Linked DNA regions of Nothobranchius furzeri. The protein of the gene in region 1 interacts with the protein of each later gene in a biochemical or structural test. Links are inferred from orthologs where the notes say so. Each region holds a gene or a part of one and is shown on either strand. Other genes may lie near its edges.

Evidence for each region. The genes of interacting proteins can lie anywhere in the genome.
Region 2: the proteins of parp1 (region 1) and rnf4 form a complex in vitro, tested with the Homo sapiens proteins (2 studies listed by BioGRID and IntAct, with this or other methods). The link is inferred for Nothobranchius furzeri from reciprocal best matches to the Homo sapiens genes PARP1 and RNF4.
Region 3: the proteins of parp1 (region 1) and aplf form a complex in vitro, tested with the Homo sapiens proteins (3 studies listed by BioGRID and IntAct, with this or other methods). The link is inferred for Nothobranchius furzeri from reciprocal best matches to the Homo sapiens genes PARP1 and APLF.

Annotation. Positions count from the first base shown.
Region 1 is NC_091742.1:4,979,308-4,984,499, reverse strand, and holds the start of parp1 (poly [ADP-ribose] polymerase 1), read right to left. Parts: upstream 3,556-5,192; 5' UTR 3,432-3,555; coding exon 3,309-3,431; intron 1,608-3,308; coding exon 1,442-1,607; intron 1,154-1,441; coding exon 1,038-1,153; intron 947-1,037; coding exon 732-946; intron 726-731; exon of another isoform or gene 711-725; coding exon of another isoform or gene 1-710. Other genes in the region: adorb1a (adenosine A2c receptor), read left to right, coding at 1-710; si:dkey-206f10.1 (adenylate cyclase type 8), read right to left, coding at 4,918-5,133. UniProt on the Homo sapiens protein: Poly-ADP-ribosyltransferase that mediates poly-ADP-ribosylation of proteins and plays a key role in DNA repair.
Region 2 is NC_091741.1:64,324,877-64,329,924, reverse strand, and holds the start of rnf4 (E3 ubiquitin-protein ligase RNF4), read right to left. Parts: upstream 3,336-5,048; 5' UTR 3,190-3,335; exon of another isoform or gene 3,145-3,189; intron 1-3,144. UniProt on the Homo sapiens protein: E3 ubiquitin-protein ligase which binds polysumoylated chains covalently attached to proteins and mediates 'Lys-6'-, 'Lys-11'-, 'Lys-48'- and 'Lys-63'-linked polyubiquitination of those substrates and their subsequent targeting to the proteasome for degradation.
Region 3 is NC_091746.1:29,719,145-29,724,237, reverse strand, and holds the start of aplf (aprataxin and PNK-like factor), read right to left. Parts: upstream 3,336-5,093; 5' UTR 3,219-3,335; intron 1-3,218. Other genes in the region: fbxo48 (F-box only protein 48), read left to right, coding at 4,440-4,733, 4,885-5,046. UniProt on the Homo sapiens protein: Histone chaperone involved in single-strand and double-strand DNA break repair.

The DNA.
Region 1 (5,192 bases):
GCCTGCTCATGCTGAGCGTTTTGATCATGTTCACACAGAGCTCCATCTTCAGCCTGCTGGCCGTGGCCGTGGAGCGCTACGTCGCCATCTTCATGCCCTTCCGTTACTGCGTCCTGATGACGCCTCGCAACGCCGTCCTGGTGATCTTCGCCACGTGGCTGCTGGCCTTCCTCATCGGCCTCGTGCCCCTGATGGGCTGGCACAAAACGCCGCCCGATTCCGGCAACTGTGTCTTCGTCCTGGTGGTGGACATGACCTACATGGTGTATTTCAACTTCTTTGCATGCGTGCTCACGCCGCTGCTCGCCATGTTCCTAATCTATGCTCGGATCTTCATTGCGGTCAAGCAGCAGATGCGACGCATCGGGCCAGAGCAGGGCGGCCGAGGGGCGGCGCGTCAAACCAGAGCCGCAGCTAGCATGCGCCGGGAGATAAAGATGGTGACGTCTCTCTTCCTCATTCTGTTTCTCTTCACGGTCTGCTGGATCCCGCTTCATGTCATCAACTGCTTCCTGCTGCTCTGCCCTCGCTGCTCCGTGCCGCTGGAGCTGCTGCTCACCGCCATCATCCTGTCACACGCAAACTCCACCATCAACCCCTTCCTATACGCGTACACCATGACGGCTTTCAGGGACACGTTTAAGGACATTTTCTTGTGCTGCAGGACGATGAGCAGCAGGAATAACATCGCTGAGGAAACAAATCTCTAAACTAAACGTTTGTCATCTCACCCCTCAGATTTGACAGCAGGGAGCCTCTTCTTAAGATCGTTCTTGTCTTCGGCGCGCAGCGCGTCGAATCCCTTCAGCTGGGCGGCGGAATAATCGGGCTTAAACACCAGTTCCTCCCTGCGGCTCACGAAGCACGCCGTGTGGTACCAGCGGTCGATCAGACCCAGCTGAGGTTTCTCTGGGTCAACCGTTTTCTTGGAAACACGAATCTGATCCTGAAAGAGAAGCAAAAATACGGCAGACATGTGAAGTATTTATGACACGTGTTCAACGGTTATTGATTAAGACATTTCCTGTGCTGCGGACCTTTTCTATTTTTTGCTCGCAGCCTTTGCACGTGCTGCGGTTCGACTTGGCGTACTCCACGGCAAAGTTATTCAGAGTTTTGGCCCCTTGAGCGGCACCTTTTGAATCACTTTTCCCTGCAAGATGCAAAGGAAAATAAGTCTAAACATTTAAAAAAAATATGCATTAATAGTAAATGATAAATTAAAAACATTTAGAACAACTTGAGAAATGGCACTCTTTTGACTTTTTATGGATCACTTCACTTTTTTATCTGGCTAATAAGACAAAGTTAAACCAATTGAAAGTAGCTATCTTAAGCTCTTTTGCTTACGATCCAATCCAATTTTATTTATAAAGCGCATTCACAAGGCATTACAACCAAACAAGGCGCTGAACACAATAATTAAAGATCTACCACCGACCTGCTCCGACAGCTCCTCCAGTCTCAATAGCCTTTTTGACTTTTTGCTGGTCCTCCCAGCGAAGAGTGGAGAACCCGGCGATGTCTGCTTCAGTCTGAGCTGCCGCTCGCTGCCAGAAGCAGGAGAAGTGGTGCCAGTGTGGGACTTTCCCATCGAACATCGGGGACTGGAGGACAAAAACAAGACAATGAAGCAACAGCAAATATCAGAAAAAAAAGATGAAAAAAAAAAACAAAACCATTAAAGTGAGAATAAAGGTTTTTCTGTTTGAATTTTTCTGGTTTCTGAATTTGAATGTTGTTTTGTTGTTGGATTTCTGTGCTAGTCATGGATTGTTGTCGTTTCGTCTGACCTGCGGCCGCGTGTCTTGGACACTCGGGTGAAGAGAGGGGCGGAGCAGGCAACTGACAACTACCTGGTGGTGAGTTGGCTCAGATGGTGGGGGAGGATACCGGTCAGACCAGGCAGGCCCAAACGTATCGCGAGGGTCTGCTGGGAACGTCTGGCAGAGTCTCCTGTCAGAAGGAGCTTCAATTCCCACCTCCGACAGAACTTCCAAAATGTTCCGGGGGAGGCGGGGGACATCGAGTCTGAATGCACTCTTTTCCGTGCCTCTTTTGTTGAGGCGGCCGACCGGAGCTGTGGTCGCAGGATCGTTGGTGCCTGTCGTGGTGGCAACCCCCGAACCCGCTTGTGGACACCGGCGGTTAGGGATGCCGTCAAGCTGAAGAAAGAGTCCTAACAGGTCTTTTTGGCCTGTGGGACTCCAGAGGCAGCTGACGGGAACCCGCAGTCCTGCCTGGTGAGGTTTTCTGGGCACGTCCAACCAGGAGGAGCCCTTAAGGTAAACCCCGGACACGGTGGAGGGACTATGTCTCTCACCTGGCCAGGGAACGCCTTGGGATTTCACCAGAGAAGCTGGCCCAAGTGGCTGGGGAGAGGGAAGTCTGGGCCTCTTGACTTCGGCTACTGGCTACTACCCATCTCCGGATAAGCGGATGAAAATGGATGGATGGAATTTTTCTGGTTTTACATGACAAACGTTTTTTGTGCATTAAAAAAATTCAGATTTTACTCACGTTAAAAATAAAATCATGAATTTGTAAACAAGGGTTTTCACAATTTTGTCTTTAAAACTACAGATAATAATTCTGACTTACTTATTTAAACAAGTATAACAAATAAACATATTCACAAGAATGTCAATGTTTCATGCAGCCAGAACTAAAAAAAAATTGACATATTTTGCAGAAAATACACAACACACGGTTGGGTTTTCCAACAATAAAAACAAAAAGGAACCACTGACCTGATAATATGCATTACTGTAACTATTAAGACGTTACAAAAGAAATACTATATAGACTATATTTTGTGGCTGAAACTTTAAATGTGTGCAAGTGGTAATGAATTTTCCTTCCTTTTGCAGGGGTGAGTGCTGATCTGGACCCACAGACTGACCAATAAGCAGGAGTTTGACTCTTACATGATTATTTCTCTATTGCACAGACTGGAACAGCTGCTTGTGTGATTTTTTTTATCTATGTCTCTTGAGTGGAGGAGAGGATGGAGCAGTTGTATTCTGCAGCACACTGGATGGGTCTCAGACATTGTCCTAAGTCCCTCTGAGGCGATCCAGGCGGCTCTTTGTGAGCCAGATTCATTCAGTCAGCCATTTAAATGCTAACCGGGGGCCTCACTTAGCACAACTCAAACTCCTTTATAAACTACACTAGATTAGTTTAAAGTCTGATTATTATGGTTCTCTATATGCGCACATATGATTTAGATATCAGCACGGTTATAAAAGGCTTCATAACAGAATGGTTCCTTGGTTAAATCCCTCCAGACGTCGCTACCTCCTCACCTGCACCATGAGGGCCATCCTCAGCGAGTCCTTAGCTATGCTCTCTTTGCATTTCTTGCACGAAGCCCGGCCGCTTTTCGCGTATTCCGCCTTGTAGAGCTTGTCATCTTGGGAGTCCGCCATTGTTCCTTAATGTTGCAAACAAGCAAACAAAGCGACGTGATGAAGAGGGCAACTTTCTCCGATGCACTCTCGGAGCCACCACAACAATCACAGGCAGAGCGGCGGCTGCAGCCCGCGTGCTACTTGGAGAGGAAGCTCACGAGACGAGGTCTCACTCTGACTCCGATTTACAATCCACGTAAGTTTTAACTTTGTTTTAATGTACTTTGTGGTATATTACGTTTTAGTTTGTTTACGTTATGATTCGAGACATTATGATGATTCGTTTGGCCATTTTAAACTTCTGTGTGGTCCCCACCTGTTTGTATTTTTCTCTAATGTACCGAAAAAAATCAGGGTTGAGTTGTTACACTGTAACCACATAACAACTTTGTTTATTCTTAACGGTTCATAAAAGAGAGAAACATTTGGCCACTCTAACCCAGAGCTAGAGTAGCTCTGCCCTAACCTAAATCTCTGACGCACTGTGATTTTTATCTTGAAAGGCGCTACACACATTAACTTTTCTTCTTCTACCAAGTGGGGCATCTTAAGAGCAATATAGGATCAGTGAACTGGTTCGCAGAATTCCCGCGCGAGTTTCAGCCAGAACTAATGGAGCACAGATCAATCAGATTTTTACAAAACTAAACATGAAATTCTACATGAAGCAAAACTATTAAGTATGTTAATTATAAATATATTTACAATAGTTGCATTTGTTTATAGTTGATCACTGAGAACTAATGCGCAAACAAACAATTCCAAAGAATAGTTCTGCTTTAAGATTTTTATTTGCACAATTCACATTGAAAGTTTATGTAAAAAATAAACATACAAAATGTAAATACAATATGTGTTCATCAAATGAACTTCAGTCTTTTGAAAACAAAATTTTTAAAAACTATGACCTGATTATAAGGGCCTAGATAACAATTTGGGTTCAATAACGACAATAATAATACACTGATGGAGACTTTCATTTACTCGTCTTTACAATAATTTTTCACATAGTCATTAATTAGTAAAATTATTTCTAAAAAATCTTTGGGCTTACTAATAAATATAAAAACATCTTTAACTGTAAACAAAATTGGTGGAAAATAACTCACTAAAAACGTCAACCAGGGCTTTACAGGCCACTGAGTAAAATTCTAAGAGGTATTGTGTGTTTTGGCGTAGAGGTCTCACCTCTTGCTAGCACATTTTCTAAGCAAGCAAGAAAATGTGTTGGCTTTTCTTTAACTGGACAAAATAGCATAAACAACAACTGAAAACAGAGATTTCAGATGATGAAGTTAACCTATATTATGATGCTATAAATAGTTAATTTCCAAAGTAAGGTTTAGATGAGAAATCATAGATGATTTCACCCAAGACGGTCTCAACTCATTTAGTTTTATAGTGACAGGATGGATCAGAAGGAAAAAGGAGTTTGGCAAGACTTGATCCAACTAGCAAACCTTGAAATACATTCATGGAATGTGTCTTCTTCTTTGTGCATTGCTCAGCAAAGCAGCTTACTGGGAGTCAAAGTGAAATTCCCATTGGACTCTCTCATCCTCTCTTTGTGTCTGGCCTGGACAAGACCAAATACCACTTCTGCTAGAGTCATGCGTCCTGCTGTGCGGCCACCTGGGCGCCCATCTGTTCCGATGTTGGCTCTTTTGCTGCGCATGGTGCTGATGAAGTATGTGCGAACATTCCCCTGGCATTCACTCACCTGAACAGAAGTACAATCAAATATGGTGTTATGTTCATGGGTACTTTGAACTTAAAAAA
Region 2 (5,048 bases), on another chromosome or scaffold:
AGCCGACACTGATACCCATGTTAGGAGGGCTGAGCGGGATCGCCAACCACCGATGAGGCTCGACTACACTGAATTGGGGAAACCAATTGTCACCGTGGTAAAGTCCTTCTTCCAAGGGTTGACCGATGCGTGGAATGACATGGTAAATGAAGGTGAAGCACATGCTTCTACTCTTGCCTTTACCCCCAAGAGACATTTGTGTGAACCTTGTCATGCACAGGGACGTGCAAGAGTTCAGGAGGGGAGAGTGTAACCCACATCAGAATTGTGGTTTGTGCTGCGGCATAAGGTTGGAGGTGTAATTTCCCTCTCCGCCACTAGGAGGCGAGTATGCCTTGAGATGACTTCCTGTTAGTCAGCACTTCCTGTTGTGAAAGCCGTTACTCACGAGGCAACCGCCAGATTAACTGAAAGATCCTGGATCTGAATTCTGTGAAATATGGGCGTGGGAAGCTGCGTCAGCCAGGCGAGCTATCTCACCACGAGCTCCGATTGGTTTTTTGACCAGGACCGGATCATTTGAGATCTGAACCTTGTGGGTTCAGTGGCGAGCCAGTTCCAAGAGAGTGACTGTAGACGGACCAGAGTACGGTGTGGCCAGCCGTGGGATCCATCTTCAGCGAACCCCAGGACTATCACTACATCCCTTGACACAGATAAGACTGACACTTTTAAAAAATCTACCCGGGTAGTGTTAGATCCACTGGACAGAAACGCACACACACAAACTAATTTCTCTTTCCAAAGAGAAGTGGACTGAGCAACAGGAGTGGAAGCTCTTTAATTGAAACTCTTTGGAGAATTTCCTCAAAGAGGGTTTTGGTTTTATTTTGAGTCCTTTAATGTGCGTTTGTGCACTGTAGGAAGCCGGCTTAGACAGGCAGGGTTTGTAAACTTTACACCTTTTCAATACAGTTTCTATTTAAATCATATCTTATCTGTCATTGTGTGGTTCCTTCTCTGCTGATCCTTTCAAGGCTCCATAATCTTACCTAGAACTTTTGATACTGGTCCAGAGTTGTCAAGACAATAGTTCAATACCTATTTCATATTATTTAATTGTAATACCCGTTACATGAGCAATATCGGTCTACCCCTAACTCTAACCTCATCATCTTCCTACCTATGTAATCATTGTCTCTCATCTGGACATATCCAAACCAACTCAGTCTGTCCTCTCTGACTCCAAAACATCTAACATAATGTAACGTTACCGCATGCTGTTGGAAAAGAAGCGTGCTTGCCTTCTAGGTGATCTACTGCTGTCGGCGTGGTATGTATGTGCGGTGCGCCCCCTCCCTGCACGCTCAGTATGAATATTCTTTTCTGGGTTAATAAGGTTTATTACCTTTTTTGTTTAGGACCCGAGGTGTTGTGATGCTACGACAAAGTGTTTTGAGTCACTGCTGTGACCCCCCTCCCCTCTCTCCCTCAACAACCGAGGAGCGGTTCGACAGAGCGGACCGACCTATCGGGAGCAGTTTGGGCCACCGCTCACTGTACGTTTACATGCAGCCAGTAACCCTTTTAAAACCCGAATATTCACAATAACCCGGTTCCGCACGGCCATGTAAACACCGCCAAAAGCCCGGATATGCTCATAACCGGGTTTTTAAAAACCCGGTTACTACACCTGGGGTAACCCTTTTCTAACCCGAATGTTTGGTCGTGTAAACACATATCGGGATATCCCCTTCAAAGCGTGTGTTCTGCGCATGCTCTGTTCGCAAGGGATCTTGGTCTTTTGAGAAGCGAGACGTCTTGTATGCGCCAGAACACTGGAAGTAAACAAGATGGGAGCAACATGGCGAGTCGCGGCACAGCACCACACTTTTGGAGTGACGAGGAAACCTGTCTTCATCGGTCTGGTGAAAAGTATGAACATTATGTCTTTTGTTGACAGCCGAAAGTACAGAGACAGCGAAATATGACGCATATTGCGTCTTGACGTAGTCCATACGTCCTGACGCTACCCCAACGTCCGCATTTAAATCGGGTTATGCAAGTTAGGGGTAACTCTTTCTATTTATTATGCTTGTAAACGGGTTATTCTGATCAACTCAGAAACCCGAATACCGACCTTAACCCGATCATAACCCGGATATTGGCTGCATGTAAACTCAGAGCATAACCGAGGATTTTAACCAGTGCTGGTGCTCCTCCGCCAGACGTTCTCCCGCCCAGCATGTTGGTTGGAGTGGAAAGGGAGACCTTTTCTCACCTCTGACGCATGAGGATTTTGGAGCACTATTGTATTTCAACAGAGTTTATTTTATTGTGGTTTTTAACTTTTATTTGTCCAGGCTGGAGCCAAGGGTGGTGGCGGTGGTTCTTCCGTGTGCGAGTTGGTGTGGGCCCCCCTTCACATCTGTGTGACTGTTCACTGGTGCTTTGGGTGACTATTGGTATTTAGTTTGTGTTGTTGCTAGAACCTCCAGTGGGTCCACCTTACCTTGGTAAGCTCCAGCCTGGTAACACTAATTATTTTCTTTCCTTGTTTTAATTCTCCCTTTCTATTTTTAAATTAGTAGTTTAAACTGCTGTCCTTTTAACAAAACACGAAATAAAATTGTGGACTTTGCGTACACCTCGTTTCTGTCGCCTTTGTGAGAGCATTGAACCTATGTGCGCCTAAAGGTACCATTTTATTTTCCTTGGGTGAAATTCCCAAGATGGCATTGTTTTAATCTTTTAACTTAACATTCTGTTTAGTACCAGCACACCCATACCACCTCTGTCACCACAATAAGCTGCCCCTTTCTTCTTAAGCTGCGCAACCTCTAACTCTACTTCCTGTCTTTACCTTGTGGACGCTGTCTCTAAAGCAGACATGGCTGGTCTCACTAGTATCTTTACACCTTAGTAGAAACTCCTCACACCTGATACCTTCCATCTAAATCTACAGTACTTCCATCTAAATCTACAGTACTGAGGATGGTATTTGTTTACAGGCGTATTCATTTAAGCGCAATTAATTTCAAAGTGTTCTTCAAGGAAGTCAATGTGTCACTAAAATAACAAAAACAGGTGGCTTCGGTCCAAAATCTAAACGGATGGAGTTTCGTTTTACCATCACGACCAGAGACAACTGGTTAGCAGTTAGCTTCTCTCACAACTGGTTAGCAGTTAGCTTCTCTCACTCACCACCAGGTGTTTTCATGTGTTCGGCTCGAACGTGACACGTCTCACCTCAAACGGAGAATTCGCGGTCCAAGAAAATCTACTTCTGCCCCAGAACACCGAAACGAACGATTGTAATGTTAGCTTTTACTTTCTGCGCCTTCTGCGGTTACAACCGGAAGTTGTACTCTAACGGTGAGCTCACTAGCGCCCCCTGCAAAGTTCAGATGGAACTGCGACGTTAAAAATGTGTTAAAACAAATTTAAGAAAATCATATTATTTGATAGTAATATATTTATCTCCAATTCCATTTTCTTGAATAATCAATGCAGTACACAAATTTAATGGTTCAGTTTGAAACTGATTTTATTGATGCCAAAATCAAGCCTCCAACATGATAGAACTATTCCAGGACTAAACTTACAATCACTCTGACTAAGGTTCTGTTACAAAAATAATGTTATCAATAAAGTAAAAATAATATCAGTAAATTTTGCATATAATATTTTTAAAATGAAGTGTGATTTGCGTCAAAGTTCTCCATCATACAAAAATATTTAAAATTATTAGAAATACTCACCAGATCTATTTTGAACCTAAAATGGTAAACTCAACAGCAGAAAATACTGATTATATTTTCCTCACAAACCACCTTGAATTTACATCTGAACCACATGGGGTCCAGATCTAAACCATCACTGTTTACAACCATAGTCAAAACGCATTTGAACATATGCATTTTTTTTTAAACTTTCAACAAGTTTTATTTGAAGAGCTTGTCCAGAAAAACTCTGATCAGACCACTGAAACATTTTGGTGTGATCAAAAAATTTATTCTGAGATGATTAAAATCATTTATGATTTAATTTTGTATCAGAAGGCATTGACAATATGGTTCTTAACCAGAAGGAGGATTTGTCAGAGTAAAACAAACATCTTGTATTGACCAAGGAACAGATGGCTCAAACAGGTCAACATAAAAGTTTCAACATTCAGATTTTATTTGAAGTCAAATCAACAAATGCATCAATGACATCAGCCACGCAAACTTTCACAGCTTCCTGCTGTCACAAATGAAGCAAAAACATTCAACAAAAGATGAGCTGAAGCAAACAGGTCCAGTGGTGCCAGAGCCAGGTCAAAGATGCTGAGGCAGATGCACGAATGTTTACATAAACATGAAATAAACAAAATCAGTTTCATGTTTTAAGTAAAGATCTATGAGATTGGAAACATGTGACAAAAGGAAAGCTACATATCTATCCACCTATCTGTCAACAACTGCCAGAAGCATTGTGGGAGCTGCAGTACTGTATGGTGACCCAGTGCATTGTGGGAAAACCTGATCGGGGGCTGGAAAATTCCAGCGTGACCTGGCAGGGTCTGCTTTAGGGCCGCGCCTTCATGAGCGCCTCACCGAGCCAGATTCCTGAACGCAGCACTGAAAAGACAAGTTGTCAAATAAAGGTCTGTAAGAACAGAATCATTCACTTTTGATTTTAAACTGAATTTATTAAAAAGCTAAATCCTCTCAGGTGGATTTGGTCCACCCAGCTTTCACCCAAAACATGCATGTCACATGTCATGGACAAAAAGAAGGAACTGATCTTAAAACTGCCTGTTAAAAGTCAAAGCTTTGAAATCATCACATATAAGTAAGTAAGTAAGTAAGTGAGTAAGTGTGTGTGTGTGTGTGTGTGTGTGTGTGTGTGTGTGTGTGTGTGTGTGTGTGTGTGTGTGTGTGTGTGTGTGTGTGTGTGTGTGTGTGTGTGTGTGTGTGTGTGTGTGTGTGTGTGTGTGTGTGTGTGTGTGTGTGTTTACCTGTAATTTAGCTCTAAGTTGAGGTAAAAGTCATGGGATCCATCTGGTTCATCTTCAGGTGTGTGTCAAGGATCTGGAACATCTCCTGGATGTTTGGGATGTAACC
Region 3 (5,093 bases), on another chromosome or scaffold:
ATATTTGAAATATTTCAAGCGGTTTACAAATGCGTTTCCCAGTCACTTCATGCATATACAGTGTAATGCAATCAGAAGCGTTAATGCATTTATTTTTTCCATCATTTTTGTTGCTCCCCCAGACGAATCCGTGACAGATCTAGTGGAAGATCCACAGACACTTCCGGGTGGAAGACCGGCGGTGGGTCACCGGCCTCCGGTACAGAATCAGGAAAAGCAGGGGAGCACCAGAGCCAGATGGAGAGCGCCAGAGCAGTTCTCAATTTCTGAAATAATTTATGACAACTGCTACCAATGTGGATTGTGGAATAAAAAGAGATAAACTGTTAGTTTTCTCAATATTGTCATTGCAATCGGGACAGATACCGCCATCTGCCGGCTTAAAATGGTATTGCAGTACATTTTAAACAACTTGGGAGTGAAAAGGCTGTTTTGTCACTACAACGGATTTGGGGATGTAGTTTATTGTTAATAGATATTGTGGTTTCACAACAATAAAGTTTTGTATTGTGCATATGGATTTATGAGTAGTACGAAACAATGTCTGAGTTTCTTGTTCTTTAAATTACAGTCCAATTAATCATACATGTTTGAAATATAATGCTGAAATATTAACCTCTGAACATTTTTTGTTTGTTGATGATATTTCATTTTTAATTTATTATTATTTTGCATCATGATTTATTTTATGGTGTAGTGTCATGTGGTAATTGTTGCAAATTCTAAATGTAATTTTTATTTTCCTCAACTGAGGTCATTTTTATTTGCTTTATTCTTCAGTACGTTGAATGTAGGTTACATTGTAAACTGAATGTATGTGAAAACGAAGATTGAAATAGTTTTAAAAAAGTTTAAAATGTACTGCAATAACCATTTTAAGCCGGCAGATGGCGGTATCTGTCCCGATTGCAATGACAATATTGAGAAAACTAACAGTTTATCTCTTTTTATTCCACAATCCACATTGGTAGCAGTTGTCATAAATTATTTCAGAAATTGAGAACTGCTCTGGCGCTCTCCATATGGCTCTGGTGCTCCCCTGCTTTTCCTGACTCTGTACCGGAGGCCGGTGACCCACCGCCGGTCTTCCACCCGGAAGTGTCTGTGGATCTTCCACTAGATCTGTCACGGATTCGTCTGGGGGAGCAACAAAAATGATGGAAAAAATAAATGCATTAACGCTTCTGATTGCATTACACTGTATATGCATGAAGTGACTGGGAAACGCATTTGTAAACCGCTTGAAATATTTCAAATATTTTCGGTGACAGCCTTGTTTGTTTTGATTTTGTTAATAAAGTAAAAAATAAAAACGTTGGCATGATGAGGCCGATGATGCATAAGTGCTGCAATTACTGAGGTCACTACTACAGCCGCAGGTACCGTGGCAGCAGTGGTAGGAGGCGTGGCTAGTGCCACTAAAAGTCGTGGTAGGGGGCGTGGCTAGTGCCACTAAAAGTCGGAAGTGTAATGGCAGCAGTGGTAGGGGGCGTGGCTAGTGCCACTAAAAGCCGTGGTAGGGGTCGTGGCTAGTGCCACTAAAAGTCAATAATCCAATAATACCTAGCTGCGGACATTGCCCAGGAAAAACGTTTTTCCTGGGCAATGTCCGCAGCTAGACCTTACTCCTAAAAGTCGTGGCACCACCCGGAAGTGTAATGGCAGCAGTGGTAGGGGGCGTGGCTAGTGCCACTAAAAGCCGCGGGTGCCACTAAAAGCCGTGGCACCACCCGGAAGTATCAGAGCTGCCACTGTAAGTGCCACAAGCGCTGCCGCTGCCACAAATTGCGCTCGGTCCTGCTGAACGACCGTTGGGACCTTCTATCCATGTTTTTGTTGATTGCTTTCATGTAACTTTGTTTTGGTTCCATTTACAAAGATACATTTCCAAAAACTTACAAAAAATATTTCTATGTATGAAATACTTCTTATTGTTACTAACCCTCATTTATCATCCAATGAAAAATACATAATTAACTTAATCATTATTTTAGCAAAATATTATTTACATAAAAATTTTTCAGAACAGTATCCCCTCCATCTATAATTTAAGAATTACAGACCTTATGAAATATTGGAACAGCATTGAAAAATTAAAAAAGAAGAACAACAAACTAACAAAGATCATCAACTTATTTCATCATTTCAACTTAGACACAGCAGACCCCTAAGTGTTATGTTTTTAAGTTATATATGTTTTCGTCAGTTCTTTGTTTATTTCTTGTTTGTTTGTTTAATGGTTTCCTAATGTTGCATGTGTGTTATTGCAGTTGTAAACAACTGTAAAATGTGATCCATGGATATATTGAATGTATTTTCTGAATGTATCGACAACAAGTTAATAAAACCTGTTAAAAAAACATCCGTGCTTCCTCGTCGAATTTTCCTACCAACGCGCATTTCAACAGCTGATTCAGTCTGTCCAGGTTTACTGAAAATCGGTAGCTACTGTTAATTTATTTTATGAAAAAAAGGTGGATAGTGTAAGAAGCAGTTTAGTCATTTCGTAAAAATTAACCCCTTAGTTGCTAAAATATTTGAATATTCTCAGAACAATGACGATTTACCAACTTTCACCCATGTCGAAAGTATTCATAAAAATGGAGATTTGTATTTCCTTTATTAGAAAAATTAATCTACATAGAACAAACATGCTTTTCCCCCAACAGTCAGTTATTTGTTTGAATGTATAATTTTGGAGATTATTATGCAACTATGATAAATTTATTATATGTATATGTTAAGAACTGAGATCTGCAAAAGATCATGATTTAATATTGATTTATATTACATTATTATGTTTGTGTTCTCATTTGTTTTATCTCTGTATGTATACCTTTATCTTTGTATGTTTATATTGTAAATACTTATGGGTTATCTTTTGTTAACTAATGTCATGTGGTTTAATTCAACCAATGAGATCGCTGTCAGTGACGCATAAGAGATGACGTGACAGAAGAAACCGGTGTTCCCTGATTGAGAAGCTAAGCAGTGATGAGGCTGTATTTCCTCCATCAGCACGATTGATGACTCTGCTAACAGTAGAATATAAAACTTTTGGATGTTAATTTGGGACTCTTTCAGAATGACTGTAAACAATGGGAGAAATTTCTTGTTTACAGTATAATAACGACATTTTAGAAGGCATTTACAAGCAAACTGTCAGGTAAACATACAGCAAACAGTAATTTAACAAAACAACTTAAAGAAATACTTACTGTGACCTTCGAAGAGTTGAAAGTAACTAGATAAGTGACGAGATTAAACGCAAACTTCCACAGGTAGCGGTCTCGACTTGTAAACAGCCTGTGACGCAATAGGCGCATGCGCATTTCCCCAAAGTAGCATTACGACGGGGAGCACGGATTGTCGCAACACCAGCTGTCAGACATCTGCCGCAGGTAAGAGCCTCTGATTAAACCAGTGAAAACCTTTTTACCGCCATCTCCAATTTCAGCCTGAAACCGACTCGTTCAGAACCGAGCTGTTTGAATAACCGGGGCGGAGGCTGGAGGTTGGTTCCGCTCTCAAACCCGAACTCAAGTGTGTTTACTGGCCTGCTCCATGCAACGAGCTCCGGTTCTGTGTTGAGTTCGTGTTTAGCGGTGATTTTTGGTTATTTATCACAGACTAATGACTCAAATCGGTGTTCTGTTCAAGAATGATTTGGCAGTCTGGGTCAGATTCAGATTATTATCACGTGTAGAAGTAAGTAGTATGTTGTGTTTTATCCAAAGCGTCTTACAATTTATAACCTGTAGGGCGTGTTGTGATGTGTGTACCCGGAGGAAACCCACGCATGCATGGGGAGAACACGCAACTCCACGCAGAAAGGCTGCAGCCGAGTTTCGACCCTGTGACCTTTGTGCTGTGAGGCAACAGTGCTAACCACTGCGTCACCATGCAGCCTCAAGTAGTGCGTGTATGAATGAAGTATTCTGCTTCTGGTGAGGATGTTCCGGTTCTAGGAGAAGGACTGGACTGAGGTCCACTCAGGAAAATGGAACCGCTTCCTCAAAGTTCCTGGAACCGAAACTAAACTTAAGTTTTGTCTTAATTCAGGATTTTTAGTCAAAACTGTAAGAAGATATAGACAAAAGAGAGGATTTAATTAGAGGGGAAGAAAAAACATTAAATTTTATGTGAAAACATAAAAATAACTGAAAACTGTTTAAATAAAATTTTATTAATTTGGTAAAATTCATCAAACATAAATTTAAAATGTCAGAAACTAAACCTGTTTTATTTGTTATTGAATTGGAAAACAGCTGATTAAATGTCCTGGTGGGACTGGGACTGTTATTCCTAATGGGTTCTGAACTTGTGCTGACCCTGATTCTTGTTTCTGGTTTTGTTTCAGAGAGAACTTCTCGTGCGTTGCTGCTGCTGCTGCTGCTGCTGCTGCTGCTGCTGCTGCTGCTCTGGACTATTGCAGTAATATGCAGCATGACCCTGCCAGGAGGTCGTCCGTGTCCCTGCTCTGTGGACGAAGAGCCTCCCCGAAAGCCTTTGACGACTCTCAGAACTTTGCTGAAGCATTGCCGATGGAGATGAGCGTGAGGATCTTCGGAGAGCTGGATGCAGAGAGCCTCTGCAGCGCCTCACGGACCTGCAGACTGTGGCGGGACATCATCGAGCAGAGCGAGCAGCTGTGGAGGCGGCAGTGTCTGCTGGTGCGGGCGGTCTGTCAGAGGGAGGTGGACAAAGACCGGGGGGACGGCTTCTCCTGGAAGGTGGGTCTCCTCGCCCTCCCTCATATCCAAACTAAACATCTCTGCTGCTGATCAGCTGAGAGGTTCCTGTTCAGTGTTGCCGCTGTAGACCCAGACCCAGATCACGGTACCAACACTTACCAGGTGTTTTCTGTCCCGCCTCTTGTCTCAGGTAACTCTGGTGAGAAACTACACCCGGAGCTGTGCGAAGAGAGACTGGCTGAGAGGCCGATACAGCAGCGTGAGCTCAGCCGACGAGCTGCTGGGGAGGAAAATGGTACCGTTTGATGCAGAGACGTGGGGAGAGATCCTTCAGGCCGAGCTCAACAGGTGAAACCGGAGCACCTGAAGCACTTCTAGGCTCAGATTAGAACTCTAATA